Linked DNA regions of Tribolium castaneum. The protein of the gene in region 2 interacts with the protein of the main gene of each other region in a pairwise test. Links are inferred from orthologs where the notes say so. Each region holds a gene or a part of one and is shown on either strand. Other genes may lie near its edges.

What was found. The genes of interacting proteins can lie anywhere in the genome.
Region 1: the proteins of ribosomal protein S6 kinase delta-1 (region 2) and Prosalpha5 interact in a two-hybrid assay, tested with the Drosophila melanogaster proteins (2 studies listed by BioGRID). The link is inferred for Tribolium castaneum from reciprocal best matches to the Drosophila melanogaster genes CG7156 and Prosalpha5.

Annotation. Positions count from the first base shown.
Region 1 is NC_087396.1:10,896,616-10,905,213, reverse strand, and holds Prosalpha5 (proteasome subunit alpha type-5), read left to right. Parts: upstream 1-2,468; 5' UTR 2,469-2,584; intron 2,585-2,643; exon of another isoform or gene 2,644-2,711; coding exon 2,712-2,983; intron 2,984-3,032; coding exon 3,033-3,238; intron 3,239-3,288; coding exon 3,289-3,539; 3' UTR 3,540-3,716; downstream 3,717-8,598. UniProt on the Drosophila melanogaster protein: The proteasome is a multicatalytic proteinase complex which is characterized by its ability to cleave peptides with Arg, Phe, Tyr, Leu, and Glu adjacent to the leaving group at neutral or slightly basic pH.
Region 2 is NC_087396.1:22,238,831-22,250,507, reverse strand, and holds ribosomal protein S6 kinase delta-1, read left to right. Parts: upstream 1-4,501; coding exon 4,502-4,696; intron 4,697-4,744; coding exon 4,745-4,902; intron 4,903-5,398; coding exon 5,399-5,651; intron 5,652-5,703; coding exon 5,704-6,019; intron 6,020-6,063; coding exon 6,064-6,182; intron 6,183-6,407; coding exon 6,408-6,551; intron 6,552-6,596; coding exon 6,597-6,724; intron 6,725-6,777; coding exon 6,778-7,209; intron 7,210-7,349; coding exon 7,350-7,545; intron 7,546-7,593; coding exon 7,594-7,818; 3' UTR 7,819-7,908; downstream 7,909-11,677. Other genes in the region: transmembrane protein 245, read left to right, coding at 947-1,459, 1,506-1,734, 1,788-1,909, 2,014-2,727, 2,780-2,947, 3,183-3,369, 3,416-3,600, 3,651-4,054 and 1 more.

The sequences.
Region 1 (8,598 bases), about 11 Mb from region 2:
CCAGAAATTCCGCTTAAGACATGCTTATGTAAATTATAATTGCTGATCTAAATTATTTTACAAAAATTTTCAATTTACCTCACTTTATATAATAATATCAAATAAGAACATACGGGATTCTAAAGTTCATGCTAAAAATAAGTGCCAAGAGTTATTAAAAAAACTGTAACCTTTGATATTGTTACTAATATAATTAGTAAATTAATCTAATAGTTTATATTTAAAGTTGTTGCTACCTGAATAATAACAGGTTTATACAATATTTGTTGCTTCAGGTTTTTTGGTTACATGTATTATTAATCTGAAATGAAACGGTTCAAAAAACAATAATTTTATTAAGAAGATACGTATCATCTGAACGCTGTTCCTCCTTGACGTTTAATCACTATTAAGTACTACGTTATTTTATTTTTCTTATAGCTATTATAGCTACATATCAATTCAGCATATTATAATCTTTGGGTAAAAAATAAAAGGCTTTACCACAAAATTAAAAACTTTATTTCTAATATATACAACCAATAATACACACATCCTGTACAAGCAGTTTTCTAAACTTTATTAACTAAGCATAATTTATAAATTACATTTTATTTCTGTTTTCGCAATGAATCTAATGATACAATTTTTATAGCTCTGTCGCCATCACTCTCTAACGTTACTCCTAATTCTTGCAGCACTGAAGAAGAAACAGTTCCTTGTTGATGCAACTCAGCAATAATTTTCTGATTTTCCATGTTGTTTTCGCACAAATTACGCACGGCCAATATAACCCATTGCATTATGACTGCATAAATTAAGGCATTATCTCTTATTTAAATTCTGTATTGTCTTTTCAATAAAAAAGGATACAAGGATTTCTTGCGTCCATGTTACAACAGTCCAAAATAACTGGAATGAGCTCGGCTTCTCTTGTCTGACAATTAAAAACAAAGAATAAATAGGGGCATAACATTAACCAAAAAGTTTCAAAAGAAAAAAAAACGTTTGTATCATAGAGAAAAAGTTTGAGTAAGGAATTATTTAAAAAAAAGTATATGTGTAACAGCCTTACTCAACTTACCAAGTCCTGCATAATTTTGTTTTTCCAGCACAAATTACCAATTATCCTTATCAAGTCCGCCTTAAATCCGAAAGCTGGATGTTCTTGGATGTTTTTATTAGGTTCTCTAATTTCAGACAAATTCAGTATTGAAGTAAAACAATTTTCACTTTCTTTTCCTAGTCTGTGGATATTGATTAATAAAACACCAGAGTTGATTAATAGATCTTTATCGCTTTGTAGCACTTTTAAATAATCTTCATTACTACAGAAAGACGATATGACTTGCACAAGCTGCGATATCTCATAAGCTTCCAAACTTGAATCTTTATTTTGAACTGTTTGAAAAATAATATTACCAGACGCTACAAATTGGTTAGTTAACACTTTTAAACCCGTTACTGGTATATTTAATGCCTCTCCTTTAATCTGTTTATCTCTGATTACGCCCAACACTGCTGCCCTCTTATTAATCTCAAATTTTAAGTAATAATTCCAAAAATTACAATCACTTATTAGTTTTTCTAACATGAAGTACAAATATTCTACACTATTGTGAGAGTCGTAAAGTTCAAGGAGAAAAGAATACGTGTCAAAATCCATGTTCAATTCCTTGTATAAAGACATGTTATATAAAAGGGCAGACGTTTCGTAAATGTTTTTCTTGTCTTTCAAGAGTGAAAGTATTGTAGGATAAAACACATCATATACTCTATCCACAGCACTTTTATTTGATATTATTAAATTAAACAAAAATTGTAAAATAATTTGGAATGCATTTTGTATCACTTCAGACTGTAAGTTCATAAAATTGGACACATTCGGTAGAAAATTTTCGTCATTAACTAAATAATTTTGAACGTCTGAATTTATAACATAATTCCTTAGACTCCTAAACAATTCTTTTATGATTCCTTCATGATTTTTGCTTAGGCTTTGCTCAGAAAGTGTCTTTAAAATTTTATGTAGCAAATCCACAGCTTGAGTTGAAAATTCAATCCTGAAAAACTAAATCTTCCAAATTTTTCTTAATAAGGACAAAACTTACTTTAGGGGGACACCTGTCTCGTCCTTTTCCAGCCTAAATTCTTTCTTTAAGTAAAGTTCAAGAGCGGAATAATCATTCTGCTGCAGGTATTCATCGACAGTTTCCAGTTTTACGGATATTGGTCTAAACATAATTTATTTTCACGTCGAAAAAGCTCACAATTTTTATACTATTTTGGCTAATTTTTAAAGGTTAGGTGTCAAATTTGAAAATCAAGCACCAACCCTACGTTAAAAAAGGTTCTAAAGAGCCAGATAATATGTAAAAGGACCTTTGTTTTTTGCTCTTGTGCAATCCCAAACACGTTTTTACAATACAGTGTTTGAATTGAAGGATAACTTAGATTTTAAAATAATAAGAATTAATTTCTCATAATTTAAAATATCATTATTGTAGCATTGGCGACACTGACTTGGTGAGAAAATCGTGTTTTGGTTTGTCATCGTCGGCTTTTTCCTGAATTTAGAAAAATTTGAATTAATCCAATTATAAAGGTAATTTTTACTTATAACTTATGTTTTTTATTAATGTTCTTACATAACTAATGGTTTAGTCCGATTTTGACTGCATTTATTGCATGCAGAGTCATTTTTTGTGACATAACCTCACAAAAACTTTTAGATGTTCCTCACAAGAAGTGAATATGACCGAGGTGTGAACACTTTTTCACCTGAAGGTCGCCTTTTCCAAGTGGAATATGCTATCGAAGCTATCAAATTGGGTTCCACCGCTATTGGAATATGCACTAGTGAGGGGGTTGTGTTGGCGGTAGAGAAGCGCATAACTTCCCCATTAATGGAGCCCACAACAATAGAAAAAATTGTAGAAGTTGATAAACATATTGGTTGTGCCGTGTCTGGCCTTATGGCAGACTCTAGAACAATGATTGATAGGTAAATAATAAAAAAAATAAAAAAATGTAGTTGATCAAAATTATGCCAGGGCACGTGTGGAATGCCAAAACCATTGGTTTGTCTACAACGAAAACATGAGTGTGGAATCTTGTGCCCAAGCTGTGTCGAATCTAGCGATTCAATTTGGCGATTCTGACGATGATGGTGCAGCAATGTCAAGGCCATTTGGTGTTGCCATTTTGTTTGCTGGGATTGACGAAAAGGGGCCCCAGTTGTACCATATGGATCCCTCTGGTTGGTTTTAATAATTATGTTAATCTAAGTTTTTTATTTTTTCACTATAGGTACATTCGTTCAGTTTGATGCCAAGGCGATTGGATCTGGTTCAGAAGGGGCTCAGCAAAGCTTGCAGGAGGTCTACCACCGCAGTATGACACTAAGTGAAGCAACAACAGCGGCACTAACAATTCTTAAGCAAGTGATGGAAGAGAAATTGAATTCTTCAAATGTTGAAGTCATGACAATGACTCCTGGTGCACTGTTTCATATGTTTAGTAAGGAACAGGTGGAGGAGGTAATTTCTAAAATATCATAATTTATATCAAAGGCAGGAGGTTGCTCGTTTTTATTTTACAAGCTGTTTTATTTTTCTATACCAGTATAACTACATTTTTACTGTTTTTCCATCAAAACGATGTTCTCTGCTAACAACATATTTAAATATCGTTATTATTCACTCTACTGGAACAATAAATAATTAAGAAGAAAATCATTACGTTTATGCTTACCACACCTGCTTCCTGGACCTTTTTTCCTAACCCTCATAACTATCGCTAATTACTCTAATTAGTGATGCATAGCGAAATTACCGTAACTAGACACATTTTCATTTTATCCAAGGAGATTCAGATAGTGGATAAAAGGTGGAACCCACATCTTTTTTCAGGTTTTGCTTCTGTCCGTCATACCCAATAATTATTTTTACAGTTGAGCGGCCTTACAGCATAATTAATTAATCAAGCTAATCAAAAAGTTTGCTAATAATTTGATCTTGCCTTTATTCACTTATTTAAAACAACCATAATAATTTAAATAAGAATCCAGACCAAATCTTCATTGTGAGTAAATTTAGAAGAAGAGTTTTTTAAACTTTATTAAAATAGATTTGCATACTATTACAGTTAACGACCAAATGTTATTTAAAGAAACTGTAAGAATGTTATGTCGACAATAATTTCTTAAGTATGTCATAATAAAGTGACAAAAAAGTCGATTTATAAGTAAGTTTGAGTAAAAATTTAAATGGCATTTATCCGGTGAAATGACTTTCAAAAAAATTATTCACATACATAATAGTTTTTAATTTGTGTTATTAAAAGTTGCAACTATTAATTTATTTTTATTGCTGATTAGGTTTACGTAGTTATTCTTTTTACGATATCTAAAATATAATTATTGCTTTGTTCGTTTCTCTTTCTATAACATTGTGCATGTTTTTTCTTTATTAATACAAAATCATTGACAAAAAGTTCTTACAGTCGTAAGTAATTTGAAAAGTAAGATTTTTAATGTTGAAAAAGATGTTCCTTTTTCTATTCAGCAATGTATTTAAGAACTTACAAACAAATAACAATGACGGCTTTTACAAAGAAATCACAAATAAAACCAACGCCGCGAAAGTTGTTTATTAGTTTAAGCCAGAACTGTCCGACTTTTCTTAGACTGTCTCTTATTTTATTTTATAAAGATTTCAGAGGACAAATACTTAATAAATTATTTCATGCACAAATCAGGGTGTGTAAGAGCTAAATGTGCTGAAACATCATACTATACATCTTTAAACGAAGTTTTGTAAAATAATGAGACTCTGTCTTAAGAATTACTCAGAAAAGGCTGAAATCACGTAAGAAAATAACAGCGGTAAACAAGTAAATAAAAAAAATTATATTTATGGGTACAATTAGGTACATCCTAGGTATTTATAATTGTTATAATTGTTTCTGAAAAATAAATCATGACTATAATGAAACAATGGTTTTTGTGGGTAGGTATACATTAGACGGAGGTCTCGTAAGTTGTGTGAAACACACTGCATCTACTATATTTCAGGTGTTGCTGAATGAGAAGCTTATCGATCAGCTGCAAGAAGCTCAAAAAATTGCTGTCTGTTAGTTTTCAATGCCATTGTTTTAATTTTTTTCTGTTTTAATATCTTCTTAAATGTAATTCGATGATTTGTACGTTGTTAATAAACACTTAATTATTGAGGCCCAAATGGCGTGTCTTTAAATTCCGATGACATTTCGTGTTTATTTCTTGTAGTAAATTCAGCGAACGTGTCGTCCCGCAGGCAAGCAAGATTGCTCACATCTGCTTGCCTTTCGTAGACAAAAAAGGACATAATTAAATCAAAAAACATTTTCAAATTCTCGACCTAAAAGCGAGAGTATTTTCATTTCCATCGAGAGCACTTTCACTGATATGAATTCCCCGATATGTGGGAGATATTTATGATGAGAGTTGTGCAACACTAATCATTTCCGGTAGCAGTAATAATCCGGAATCCGGGCGTAGATGCTCTAATGATAGTTGGATGATTAAAGTAGTACGGATTAGCGACGAGCGGAACTTGTGAGGTGGAACAGCCTTCTCGCACACTTGTACATCTCCGGGCGCTTCGCTTTAGCACAGCGGCGCCTGGTCTCGCCTGATAGAGGCCTCCAGGGACTCGCTTTGTGCCGCTAAATCACTCATTAAAGCGCCCACCCCTCCTGTGTCCTCAATCTCGCCGACCACGATCCGCTACCGTCAGCCTGTCATAACTTTGCCATCCAATTCCTGAGACGCTTCCCGATTTCGCCCCGGAAAACGCCACCAGCCCCCAACAAAATCGATCCTATTTTAATTTTAGCTCAACACCAAGTTAAAGCTCCCCAAACTCTAAAGGATGACTCTGGCCTTTTGCTTTATTAGCAAAAACTTTTTTAATTTTCAAAGGAAATGTGTTGTTTTTCCAAAAAGCGCTTTTAATTTTCTTATTCAGTTAATCGGAAATATTTGCATTTGCATTTTTTACGTTGAGAATCAACAGGTCTTTATCGTTAGGAACGTTCTTACAAAAATACTATAAGTTTATATGAAGTCCGCTTTAGCATCCTTAAAAATTGTGACAACGCGTAATGGAGTTTTTTGCGGCAAGGCAACAGAGGGGCTCAATAAAAAATTAAATTTCGTCGTTATTCAGACGTGAAATAAACGACCCCGCGAAACAAAAACGTAGCGGTATGAAACTGGAGTTGATAACGGCGTGGGCGCTTAGCGGGGTTAAAAATAAACGGCGGCCGCTTTTCAATTAATGCTCAAAAATGGAAAATCCTCCTAAACCATGCACCATTTCACTGAAACCAGAATCAAACTGTCACATGTACAATCGCTCAAACATTTTGTCGGGTCGCCGTTTTGGAAGCTCAGCCAAGACTAGACTGATCATTTAGCTTGAATGAATTTCAATTTACGCGATGTTGTGATAAGAACTGGCGAGAAGTGCCTCTGTGGGGAAGCTCTATGGCGAAAGCTTGACGTCAAACCGGCAATTACCAGAAATCCCGATACCAATCGGAAGCTCGAAATGGACGCTGTGCTCAAATTAAATAAATTTTGCGTAATTTTGCCGGACAAGAGATAACATTGCTAATCTATCAGGGCGTTGTAGTTTGACAAGGATTCGTTTAGGGCACGTGCCAGGGATTGACTCTACTCATGCAGTGACAAGAGACGGTTGACTTGGCTTGGTGGCCGCTATCTTCGGTGGACAGAGCACCATGGGACGACTCCTTTATACCCACAATTCCCAACTTAATTCGCTCAAATGAACACCGGCAATGCGAACAATCACAAATTCGATGCTGATCTGATAAAGCAAACATTTATTTATCAGTAATTCAGCGAATTATCCCATTGTTTTCTTCCCCGTATTGATTCTTATTATAAATGTACACCTTGTATTATTTTCACAAGACGAGTTTTTAGAGTACCCAACATAATTGGGACAAGCTGGACGAAAAACTAGTATTGCCTTGCGAAACTTAATCTCTATGATTTTATTTTACATAATCAGATTGTCCCAATTTTCAACAAATAACAACAAAATTTGAGGTGGTTGGTTAATCAGTAGCAAAACACATTTATCAAACTTGGCTATAATTATGTGCGTTTAGCTAAACCACCAATACCTAAACACGTAACATCAAACCACCAATTGCTTGCTTCGTTTGATACTAAAAAATGTTCGGAGCACCTGGCAAAGTGTGAGAAAATTAGCCACTTACTTAAATAATCACCGGTTTGATTAAATATGTTGATAAAAATTTAGGAAGAAATTTGTGGCTGTTGTAATTGTTAATTTATTAAATAGTCACTCGTCAATTAATCTTTAAATCCTGAATGCTGGTAAACAAACTTCATGGTGTCAGTTGGTGCTGAAACAAGAATTTTACAAACTCATCAATTGTTGTAACTGGTCGCAACGACTTTCTTCCGAATGTGATGCAATGCGTTATGTGTTTAATTAAATCCAATTACGATTAGAAAGAGCAGCAGATGTGCTACAGGCTTAATAAGTTTACCAATCGGACATTATTCAATGCGGTGAAATTTTTTCAGTTTTATGGAAACAAACGACCGCTTCTGGTACTAAACGACTAAAACAAAGTTTCTAATAATTGGAAATGATTTATTGCATTTTGTCAAATGGCATTCTTATTAGACTTTATAATATTTTATTACGCAAATAGCAGGGACTATCATGTGGCAATAACAAATGCTGCACCGCGTTTCACTTCTTATTGCTGCAGTAATATAGAAATCGTCTTTGTTTCAGATGACACCATTACTTCAATATTTTCATAATTTGGAGTTGCACAAGCTGCGCTTTTAAGTTCGAGCGAGTAACACAATACTCATTTTATTATTTTTTATCTAATTTAATTTAACACTAAAAGCGAAAGCAACTCCGTATCATAAAATCTCGAGTGTATGCCCACTCTCATTGAAGAGTGACAGTTATGCCTCCGGTCATTGCTTTGAATTTTATGCCTTTTTCAAGCAGCAACCCACATTATCTTCACGTGCAATAAAATAATTACTGGCGACAAGAAGTGTTTTTACCGGAAAATCATGTTACAAAGTATTGCCTGTTAGCGCAGCACGTGATTAATAACAATCTTTCACCTTTCAGCGGATTGACACACGACAAAGTAAGATCCTATTTGAAAGTTTAGCAGATATAATGAAATTATTGTGTAACGTACGATTCGTATAAGATGTTAGTTTCCAGTGAATAGAAAAGTATGCGGGAAATTTAGATTATGCGGATGTAATAATTACTGTCGCCTGCATGTAAGGATTTTTTCGCCGATTTTGCTATTCTGAGTGATGGCTGTTATATAAAGTTGAGTTTTCTGGACTGTCCTTAACTAATTGTTAAAAGTGAAGAAAGGCATGAATCAAGTTTCTAAATTGATCGCGGAATCGTGTGCTGTAATAGTCAATACGAGCAGACGTTGTTGAATAACCGACCATCTTCTTTTCCACTTTCTCCGTAACTGTTCTAAATCGAAGTACGTACATACACGAGTTGAAAAATACGCATTAGC
Region 2 (11,677 bases):
CAATAAACAGTAACATTTAAACAAACAATCAATTCATTAATTCATATTTGGGAGTCAATTTGACACAAACACAGCTGACCCTGGTCGGTAAAACAGAACCCTTCACGTCTTCAAATTTGTTTATAGCTTTTTTAATCGTTTTTGGAGATTTGACTAGTCGTTGGGTCTTATAGTTTGGAGTAGTGATTCAAAGTATTGGGCAGTTTTTGCAATTATCAATTTTAGTTCTATGACGCAAGATTATGCAACTAACAATACACTGCCCGTAATGGTGCACTTTAGGTGAAATAATCATTTGGTCAAACGCCGGTCACACAAGAACAAAAAACGAGTGAAGTAATCGGTAATTCATAATTCATATATTGTTTTTTACAATTTTGATTTTTTGCGGGACGTGAACTTGGCTGATTCGTAAGAAAGTAAGATTAAAAATTTGACAACTTGCGAAATAAACTAGGTACCGCGCAAGCTACCGAAATACTTAATAACAGAATATGCCATAAAATTCGACAAATACTAAAAGGTGGCCACAATTTATTTGTATTTGATAATATTAAACCAGTTACACCCAAAATACACTAATTAATTAAAAAACAGTCATCAAATTGATACTTTCGATCGTAAGAACGCTCGTCAAAAATCACGGTCTGTGCGTAATATCTAATAATGTCTGCGTGTGAAATTTTCAAATTTATTAATTTTTATGAATAACAAGATCTTATGAAACTATTTAGACAAGTGCTCTGGAAGCATTACATCGTCTTACACTAATTGTGGTTGACTTTCTTTAAAAATCGGGCATAGTTTGACCTGGTTTGCCACTGACAGTTGACAAATACAAACAGCGTGACCTTAGCCACTCACGTGTCCCTTCTGTCAGCGATGTCAACATTGCTCTAAAATTAAAAATGATTCGATAAATTTAATCAGTTGAATTAATATCGCGATGGACCACCGTTCGCCCTTGGAGAGCATCTTCGGCATAATCGGGGGGCTGCCGCAGGGGCATGACAAGCCCGTCAAGCATGCCCTTTACAACGCCGTGGCCCTTCTGCTGCTGTTCCTGTGTTGTGCGGCCAGTTGGGCCCTGTTCATGATCCTGGAGCCGTTCGTGAAGCCCCTGATCTGGGCCTTGCTGGTGGGGTCGGTGTTGCACCCCCTTAAGCGGTCGCTCAGGGACAAGTTCCAGGCCTGGTTCAAGAGTCTGGAGGTGTCTCACACCCCCATTGTGCTGGGGGTGATGCTCATCCCTATCAACATAGTCAACGATTTGTCGGATTTGATCGGTGACCAAATTTTGAAACGGATCAAGTTCATTATCGCTGTTTGTGTGGCGGTGCCTTTGGTGCTCCTGGTCTATAATTACACGCCAAAGTTGGTGGTTTGCATTTTTTATAAAGCTTACACTTATAGCTACTTCGTACTGGGTTTTTGTCTGGATAATGCCTCTCTACCTCTGGTGAGTGCCAATGCTTAAAACTTGTTGCTTAAACTAATATTCGTAGTTTGGCCTAATTTTAATCGCCTACATGTCTCTGACATTCCTGCTGTGGAAACCCGAAAATAATACGCGATTTCATTACGCATCAATTGGAATTTGGTTGTTGTTGTCTTGTTGTTTGGCTCATTTATTCGGGTCGTTCCAAATGGCTGCGTTTATTTTTTTACAAGTTGTGTTTTTCGGCGGATTTGTGAGCGAAGTCTACGACATTCATAACGAACTAAACGCTGAAGGTATTATTTTTAAAATTTTTATCAACATGTTATAAGTAATTGTACGTTCAAAGGCCACTCAATTACATTCTTTGAGTCGCTATCTCTTGCATTCCATGACAAGTCCTTAGATATTGACGAGGAACATAAAGAACCAGCGAACGAAGCGAGTGAACAAAAGTCGGAACCTCTAGAGGTATCTCATTATCTCACTGTTAAACTAATTTTTATCCTGTTGGCAAGTGCCAACTCAATTTTAAAGCCACGGACAGTCTGGCCAAATTTGAGAAATATTTTTAGGATCAGGATGCCAAGCCGAAGACTTCGGTCAAGTTCAACGATGGTGTGGGCGACGGCGCCCCCGTAAAATCCCCCCGAAGAGACCCCTACTCTCTCGATTTATTCGAGGAGAACAAATCGAATCTCCTCGAGCGAACTGACTCCGAGTTGAGCAATGCGAGTGTCCTAATAACCAATCAGGGGATTCACCTGATTTCAAAAACCCCGAAAAAAGAACTGAAACGTTCGTTGTCCCAACCCCAGTTCTCGCTGAAAAATCGCTCGAGTTTCACGAGTTTGAATCGGCGATTGAGTAGTGTGAAAAGTTCAACGCAAAGTCTGATAGATACCGAAAAGTACGAGAGTACTTTTTACCTGTATTCGGTACTTTGGGCTTGCATTGTGATGTTGTTTTGGAAAAATATCGTCTTGTTGCCGTTGCTACCGCTTCCGATTTTGTTGTACTGTCTCAAGCATGCCGGGAAATATTTCGGTGTGTGGAATTGGCTTTATGATAAGTTGAAAATTGCGATCTTGGCTGTTAGTAACTGGTGTTGTGAGAGACACGACGCCCTTGTTCCTGTGCCAATTAGGGGCCTCTATCGAGTGGTCCACAAAATAAATATTTTTCTCAAAACTAGTATTAGAGAGAGTATTGATACGGTGGCGAGTTGTGTCGTTATTTTTGGTCTTATTATTTTCGTGACTTGTGCGTCAGTTTTTATAGCAATTCAGGTAAAGGAAAAAACAAGTCGGAAGTGTGTTTTTTTAATTCAACACAATTTAGATCTATGCCGAGGCTATTATGATGGTTCAAATGACCGGAAATGTGATCAATCAGACTGTTGTTCACAACCCAGAGTTGAGACAGCTTTTGCCCCCCGCTTGGGACGACACTGTTGACTCCATTTTGGACAATGCGTACCAATACGGCCGAGAAGGAATCTCCAAAGCGGTAAGTCAAATAAAAAAAAACGCTGCGAATGCGATTTTTTTGGATTTATTTTAAGAAATTTCACGAAATAATTGCAATTCTGGCTTTTAAGCGCTGGTCATTTTCTTGCCAACGTAATGATTTTTTGCTCAGTTTAGTAAAATCCTCGATAATTGCGTTTTTTCGCGATTATTACGTTTAAAACTGATCGAAAATTGTCTCAAGAAGAGAGAAAACGGCTTTGAATTTTTCCCAGGTCAAAGGAATGATGACAGACGTGGACTCGGCAAAGTCGGAAAAACTGGAAAAGCAAGTGTTGGAATTATGGGATCGTGTCTATCAGTCCTGGATGTCCACAACCGACGCAAACGGCCCTAAAGTGACCGAAGACGCGGTCCGAGTGTCTTGGGAAAATTTCATCAGTGACATACAGAGATCACCAGGTAAAAAAATGTATGTAACTCGGGTAAAACCACAATTGTTTTGTAGAAATGTTCAACTTGAACGGAATCGTGGATTTTGCGAAACAAAACGTGGGGACACTTCTGTCCCTTCTGGAATCAGTCTGGTCCATAGTTAAGGGAAACATCGGGCTAGTGCTTGGCTCATTTAGCGCCTTTTTATCGGTGATTTTGGGCGGCGGCACCGCGGTGCTAAACTTCATCTTGAATGGGGTAAAACCCCGGAATTATCAAGCCTTGTCAATTAAATAAATCGCTTCCAGATTGTGTTCCTCACAACTTTGTTTTACCTCCTGAGTTCAAGTGGCGACCTTTACAAACCAGTCGAACTCATGACGAAGTTTTCGACCAGTGGGCGCCGCTTTGGCCACGCTTTGGAGGGGGCTATCAACGGGGTCTTTACCGCCTCGTTCAAAATGGCAGCGTTTTACGGCATGTGGACGTGGTTCATCCACAATTTATTCGGCGTGAAAATCGTCTATCTTCCGTCAGCTTTTGCGACAATTCTGGGGGCTGTCCCTTTTTTGGGGACCTACTGGGCGTGTTTTCCCGCCGTTTTGGACTTGTGGTTGGCCCAAGACCGCGGGATTGAGGCAATTGTGTTTGCCATTTTCCAGTTTTTGCCAACTTCGATCGTTGATACTACCATTTATAAGGAAATCAAAGGGTTTGTTATAGAATTTTTTTTCTGATGAAGAAAATAATTGTTTTTTAGGGGCGGTCACCCGTATTTGACCGGTTTGGCCATCGCTGGGGGGATTTTCTGTCTCGGGGTCGAGGGGGCTATCGTGGGGCCCCTTCTACTGTGCGGGCTGTACGTCGCGATTGACTTGTCTTCTAGTCTTTTTAAGGAGTCTCCCTCAGAGGAGCCGATCAATCTCAGGTTGCAGCTGCAAGACCGATAATTGTTCCAGAAGTTTATAATGCTTAATGTTATTGTGCACCGAGGGCTTTAAAACACGTTACCTAACCAAGATTTTTACAGATATTTATTGATGTTTAAGATTGTTAGATGTTTTTAAGAAATAAACGAAAATCAAAAGATTGACCTCTTTTTATTATCCCATTAATTATTATCACACAATTTGTTTACGAAAGATTGTTGACATGATAAATGTCAAAGCGACATAACCTGAAATCAGCTGTTCGCTGTCACTTTGACAGCCGCCTTATCGCTAGCAAAAAATGTGAAATTTTATCAAAAAGTCAAAAAATGGTGTCGAATGGTGACAACTGGGTCCGCATTTTTGATATCCCTGATATCAGCAAGCACCGGAAGGGCTTTACCATCTACAAAGTCATCTCAATGGTTGGTAACATTCCACAATTTTTAGTTATCAAATATTTGATTCTGCAGCTTTATCCCGAGTCTTGCCCCGACGCGATAACAAAAATTACCGTCTGGAAACGTTTCAATGACTTTAAGAAGCTCCACCGCGAAATCAAAGTCTTGCACAATAAATTGAACATCAAAGAGAAGTTCCCTAGTTTGCCCACCTCCACCTACTTCAAAAGGTAACAGTTTCCCCGGAATTACAAATACTTTCTCTTCAGCATCGTTATCAGTGCTAGAACACGTAATTGGTGACCTTGGAACGGTCTTTGTGTTGTCAAGTTGGTACACATTTGGGGAAAAAAGAAGACTTGATTGCCAACCCCTAAATTCAAAATTTTCTATCTGGCATTTTTTATCTTTCTTAAAGAAAGTTAATTATAATCAAATTTGAACTTACTGGATTATATAAGTTTTTGAGTCCACAGACAATTTTTTTTTATAGTTGCTAAGGAAAAAAATTTGTATTCATTTTAAGAGAGTTGGTTCGACACTTTAAATCACCTTGTGTAATTCACGAACTAATTATAATTTCAATTTAGTGTTTTTTTGATTATATTTTCTCAATTCTTCAATAAATAAAGGACATAAACGCAAAATAGAAATATATTATTAAAGACGTATTGCTTACTCGCCGCTACGCTGCTCGTGCCTTGTTTTTTAGGATAGTATTTTTAGGTTTAGTGACGAGACTGTGCAGGAGAGAAGACAGAGCATTTTGAATTTTTTGGAATACGTCGGTTATCACTCTCAGTTGTTCACTTCAAGCGAGTTTGTTAAGTTCTTTGAAACGAGTCACACGCCTGTTGACCAACTGAACGGTAATATTAATGCAATTAGAGCCGATTTAAACTTACCTGAGGACCCTGAATATTGCATAGCCAACTCTGATGATGATCGCACGATCAGCGATACTGATTCAGTAACAACAGTAAGTGATTTTTGTGGTAGAAAAAATATAAAATGTGTGTCGTGTGTTTCAGAATAGCGATTTTTTTGCCGATTCTGTGCCTCAAAAAACCCTCTCTAAATCCCGTTTAAGCCTCAGCCACTCGCACCAATCCAAAAATTCTGATAACATAAGTATATCCACGACCACTGACAGTATAACACTATTGGACGGTCAGATTTATCCAACGCCTCCCAATACTCCCAGTTGTGCCGAGAATTATGCACAATATATCATAGACGCTTCAATTCACGTAAATATTGCCACGGAATTAGAAAACGAAAAGAAATATGAGGACGCTTTCACGGCTTATAAAACCGCAATTGATATTTTGCTGAAATATGGGAAAGGTTAATAATTGACTATTTTTGCCTAAATAAATCATGGTTTTCAGACGATAAAAATTACGATAGGAGACAAATAGTGAGGTACAAAACTGATAAATATTTACTGAGGGCCGAAAAAATTTATAACATGCATTTGGCCCCCGAAGTGCAAAGTCTGAAGCGAATTGTAAGTTCAAAGCTTTTGATTCAGTCGCGAGAGGTCGCGTTGCGCGCGCATACTTGACATGAAGCAGCTTTGATTTTTTTATTATCATTTGGAAATCGCACGATTTGGTTCAGAAGTGGTCGTGAGAAGTAAAAGTTTGGTGTTTGATTCACTCGTGAGATGTCGCTGTGTGGGGATGCGCGCGCATCGTAAAAACGCGGCCGTTTTAAAAGTGAATATTTTTAGACCGAATCGGAGGAAAACGGCCAAAACGCCGATCAATACGTGCAACGACCCATATCCGACTTATACAAATATAAAGTGGTCCGTGTTATAGCCTCCGGAATGTTGGTTTTGCATTCCGAGCTCCAGCAACTCTTTTATATTAAAGTAAAAAAAATGAGTTTTTGTTCGAGTCTAGCGGCCGTTTTGCAGGTTATACACAAGACTATGAAATTTCTGAACGACAACTTGATTTTGCCCGAGAACGTGCCTTACATGGTTAAGTTGTGCAATTATTACAATTGCGAAAACGCCTTGTTTTTAGTGTTAGAGTACTGTAGGTAATTTTTGTTTTTTGTGTGTATTTTTGGCGGGTTTGAATGCGTTTTTCTAGCGGTAAAGCACTATGGGATTACGTGAAGTGCAGGTCTGAGGACCCTTCTGATATTTTTTACCCGAATGAGGCGCAAATCCTGCGCCAAGTGCACGATATGGATCTTTCCGATCCGGAATCGGAGCATAGTTACAGCGATTTAATCAACGATTACGCAAGCAACAAAGGCAAAAACTCGACAAAATGCGACGACGACGACGATGATTACGTGAAAGTCGATCCGGGCTTTAATAGAAACTTAATGGACGAACCTGTCCCGTCCAAACTCCCCGATTTATTAAGAAAATCATCACGGAAGTTCAGCGAAATGTCGAGCTTCGACGACTTGGATCTGGCACAAAGTCTCCTCATTCCACACGAGAACATCGTCAAGTGGGCGGCGCAACTCCTACTAGCGTTGGAGAAAGTGCACGCCTTGGGAGTTGTGTGCCAGTAAGTTAAAAATCGCCCAAAATGCACGGTGCGTTAATTAAACTTAGAGTTTTATCCACAAGTGTTACAAGAGGTCAATGAATTTTTTTAAATTTTTACTCCTAAGATATTAAAACATAGTAAAAATAAAACGCTTTCAGCGACTTGCAGTCTCGCAATTTGTTAATTGACGACGAGGGCGACCTGGTGCTCACCTACATGTGTAACGTGAACGACGTTTTTGCCCCAGAAAGTTTACAAAACGTAGCACCGGAAATTTTTTCTTTCGAACCGGTTACAACCGCCGCCGATTGGTGGTGTTATGGCGCTATTTTGTACGAACTTTTGGTCGGAATGGTATTAAATCGCTTTGATATGGACCATTTTGTAATTGGTTTCTTCCAGCCTTTGTCAGAAATTTATCCAGAAGGGTTAACGAGTCATACAGTTTTGAAAGTTCCCAAATATGTGTCACCAGAAGGGCGGTCTTTGTTGAGGCAACTTTTGACGTTTGAGCCGCAAAAACGGCTAGGTTTTGGGGCCAATGGTCCAGAAAATTTAAAATCGCATCCGTTTTTTCATTCAGTTGATTGGGAACAATTGCTTTCAAAGTACAATTTTAAAGTCTGATTTTGTTAAGTGTTCAGTATTTAGGTGCGTTGCTTATTACATTCCACGTGTTTTGTTGCTTTTGTACTAAATAAAGTTTTGTTATCTATATTTCGGTGTCTTATTGCCAATTCCTTTTTGCCACCATAATTTTTCCTTTAGCAAACTTTAAAAAATTATAAGGTAGGTAGAAAAGACAAAGAGCTTCAAAACATGAGGTAAGTACTATGTTATAAAAACAAAAGGTTGGTAAAAAGTTATATTCGAGTTGATTCCACAAATATTTTTTTACAATCCTTTTAATTAAAATTGATTACTTAATAATTTCGTTTATGCAAAAAAAAATCGTAAGAAAATGGAGATTGTACTCGTACGTTTTGGAAATAGATGCCTCATATTATACAGGAATATTCACATAAAACTCCGAGCTTGACTAAGTTAAAAGGCAACACGAAATTTCAGTAAATATTAATTATGACATAATAGGAATCCAGCTAGCTTTATAATATGTGTTTTGTGTTGCACTTTTGACTTGGTCAGGTCCGAAGTCATATGTGAATAACCCTGTATATAATAGAAATTAAGTGCCAAATCGAGAATAACGCGGAAAAATACTTTTGGAAAAAGTCCGTTTGGTTTAAATTAATATAAGTTGTTTTGCACTTGTTTTGTTGCATCTGTTGTAAGTAAAGTTTTTATTTAAATTTTGGTGTCGTTTAATGCCGTAAATTCCTCCCCGTCTGGCGCGTCGTGTGATATTTCGGTTTAGCAAGAATTTAGTTTCAAATGAGTTTGCAGTTGAATTAGAGAAAATAACCAAACTCCAATTTAAGTTATCTCTTTTGAAGTGTATTTTTTCGGTGTAAGAAAGTAAAATGGCGTTCTTTGTGGTTGTTAACAAGTTAAATTATGCCGGCAGTGAATTCAGTATCGTTAAGAAAGTTGAACAGGAGTCATTCGAAAGTAATTAGCGAAATATAATGAAGTGATGTATAATTACATGTCGTACCCTCCCTTTCTCTAATATACCGCAGGGACAGCTGCTGGTGAAGAGAACAAAATGGATGTGTTTCCTCAAGCAGCCCCAATTCGCGTCGTACGAATCAACGCTTCAGCCAAAACAGGAAAAACTCCTATTTGTAAAATGTAATTAGCCGAGAAATCAGCGAACAAAGAAATCCTGTTAACTTCCAAAGGAAAATTAATTACTTATAGCCGGGTTATGTACGGCGTCTTTGAGGAAAAAAATTAAGAGTCCCAAGAATAGATCCACCTATTCTCTCGGCTAAATCGATTGAAATTATTTTTCAAGCTTAATTATCCGCTTTCGCGCAATTAGGAGATTTAATTAAAGCCGACTCTATTTTTCCCTTTTTCTAAAGTTTAGGTCTAGCCGATCGGATAACGCCGACAGTCCTATCACAGAACCGGATAGCTGCAGCCCTCGGGCCGCTCTTTGTAAACCACTCGAAATCAGTTCCAGGGTTGTGATAAGACAGCTGGGGCAGAGGGCGTGTTCAACGGGGAACAAAAAAAAGGAGGGCGCAAAGGCCATTAACAAACAGTTAGCCAATCGGCAACCAAAGGAATTATAAATAAAACAAAAAATGGAAAAGTATCTCAAAAAAAAAACAAATGGTAACTAAAAAAATAAAGAAATTACGTTCGAGGATGTTTTTAAAATTTAAAATTTTTAAGTTAATTATCGAGAAAAAATATTTTTAATGTGTCGGGTGAAGCTGGGGACACACGTTAGTTTGGCGATTTTTGTGAGCCACCCGGCACATTTCTTTGTGCTGGCAGCCTTGTAATTTATGACATGTTATTTGGGAACTTTGTACGTTCATCATCCCGACTGATAAGTCCCGAAACTTTTCAGTTTATTCCCTTTCAATAAATTACTCTTCAGCAATCTATTGCCCGGGCAATATTTTCGTTTCCGGTTAGCCCCCTTGTCAGGTGAAGTATAACGTCGTGAAAATTTGACAGGAAAACTCATGTCCCAGCCGGGTAATCCCCCGGATCAAAGGCTCGCGATTGCCTTGCCAGTGTCACATGAATGCAATTTTAATATAATTGAATATCTACTTTACTCAATAGATATGCTCCGAGAAGATTACATTTATTCGCTCGAAGCGGATGAATATGATCTTCATTATTAAACAGGATGAAAATTTGAAAAAATATCGCATGTTTGTGAAACGTCTTCTTCGCTGGTCGAATGCCACTCAGACTTCACATACATATTAAGAAAACGCGGTATTTTTGCCGGCTTGTCTGACACTCGTGTTGGAACGCCAAGTGCAAAGAATCATTTTACGCCAAGTGAACTTGAGCCAATAAAGTTCGCCAAAAATAAAGGACGAGTAAAATATGGCGCACACTTGCGAGCACTTCAAATTTTTATTCACGCAAAGCAAAAACGCCCAACTCGGTAATGTCATTATTTCCAAAACTAAAAAAAAATTAAAAAATAATAATATCTGTTCAAAAATCAAAAACCGCATTTTTGGATTACTCGGGATATTTTACGGGAGTTTTTGTCAGCTTTTTCTATACTTACAAGCCGTTTTCGAATATTGTCGCCAATCGAACCTCTGGAACATTTTACATACAAATTACGAAAGTTATTTTTATTGTTTCCGAGTTTCTGGCTTTGAAATGGATCGCTAATCACGAGTGTATTTCCTGTTTGTTCGCCTTTACTTTTAATTTTTGCGTTTAAACCGGTCCAGGATTGCCATAAATTTTAAATGGTCCGTTCTATATATTTTCTATTTACTTTTGCAGCTCGCAGCAGCAATAAACGACGCAATTTCCTGCATTTGTGTATTTGCCTGTAATAAAAACACAAAAAGTGCGTTTCACTCTATCCCAGCTTTACTGTTTCTGTAATTAAATAAAAACCGACAGTTCATTATCAGTGAATATTTCGAGCAATTAAAATTTTAATAAAACGCTCGTATATGGATCTATCCCCACCTGCCATCGACTTAATTAAAAAAACTTGCGAATACATCAGAAAAAACAAACGCAATTTGCAATAAATTCCTCCTAAGCCATTATTGTGCTTCCGGCGTGAAAATCTCACTACACTGCTAAAACCAGGGCCGCCAGCCGGCGACAAGCCCTTGAAGGACCGACACAGGGCCTAATTGAGGGCTGGTAATAATTGTCTCGATTTTTGCTCGCTCCATTAGAGTCCATTAGTCGGCGATTGATTACCGAAAATTTTCAATGGGTGACAGGGCGTTTTCGCCAACAGCGTGCCTAATTTGCATCCCATTCGGGCGGGATTTGGCCCGTGATGAGGTTTATTTTTTACGGTTATGCTGGTTATGTTAATCCGCAAGGTGGAGATGCCGCGATAGGGCCCAGGAATTGCTCTTTAATTCCATTAAGGCAACTAATACTTAATCTGGCGGAACAAGCGACAGTTTGGCCATGCTCGAGTGTCCTAATTATATTTTTGCGCGTTAAATAATAAGTAATGTTTCCACAGATTCTGTAAGAAAAAACAAAAAATTAAAAGTCGTAGAGCAATGCGGTTTGTTCCGTTGAATTCAGCGTATTATACTAATTTTTCACGGGATTTAAAATTCTGATTTTTTTTGCTAAAATTTCTTGAGTAAAATACACTTACCTTCAAGAAAGTGAAAAAATAAAAATTTTTTAAAACTTTTTCTATTATAATTTTTTGGACTTATATATGCCTTAACAACCCCCTAGAGTTGTTAAATGTAGAAAAAAAATTTATTGCTTCGATTTTTAGAGTTTTGATTTTTGCAATTTTTGTCGCAGTTTTGGTCGATTCCGGGTACCCGGCACATTTGTCGAGCAATAGCTCCGGAACTATTAGAGATAACCCCATGAAGTGTAT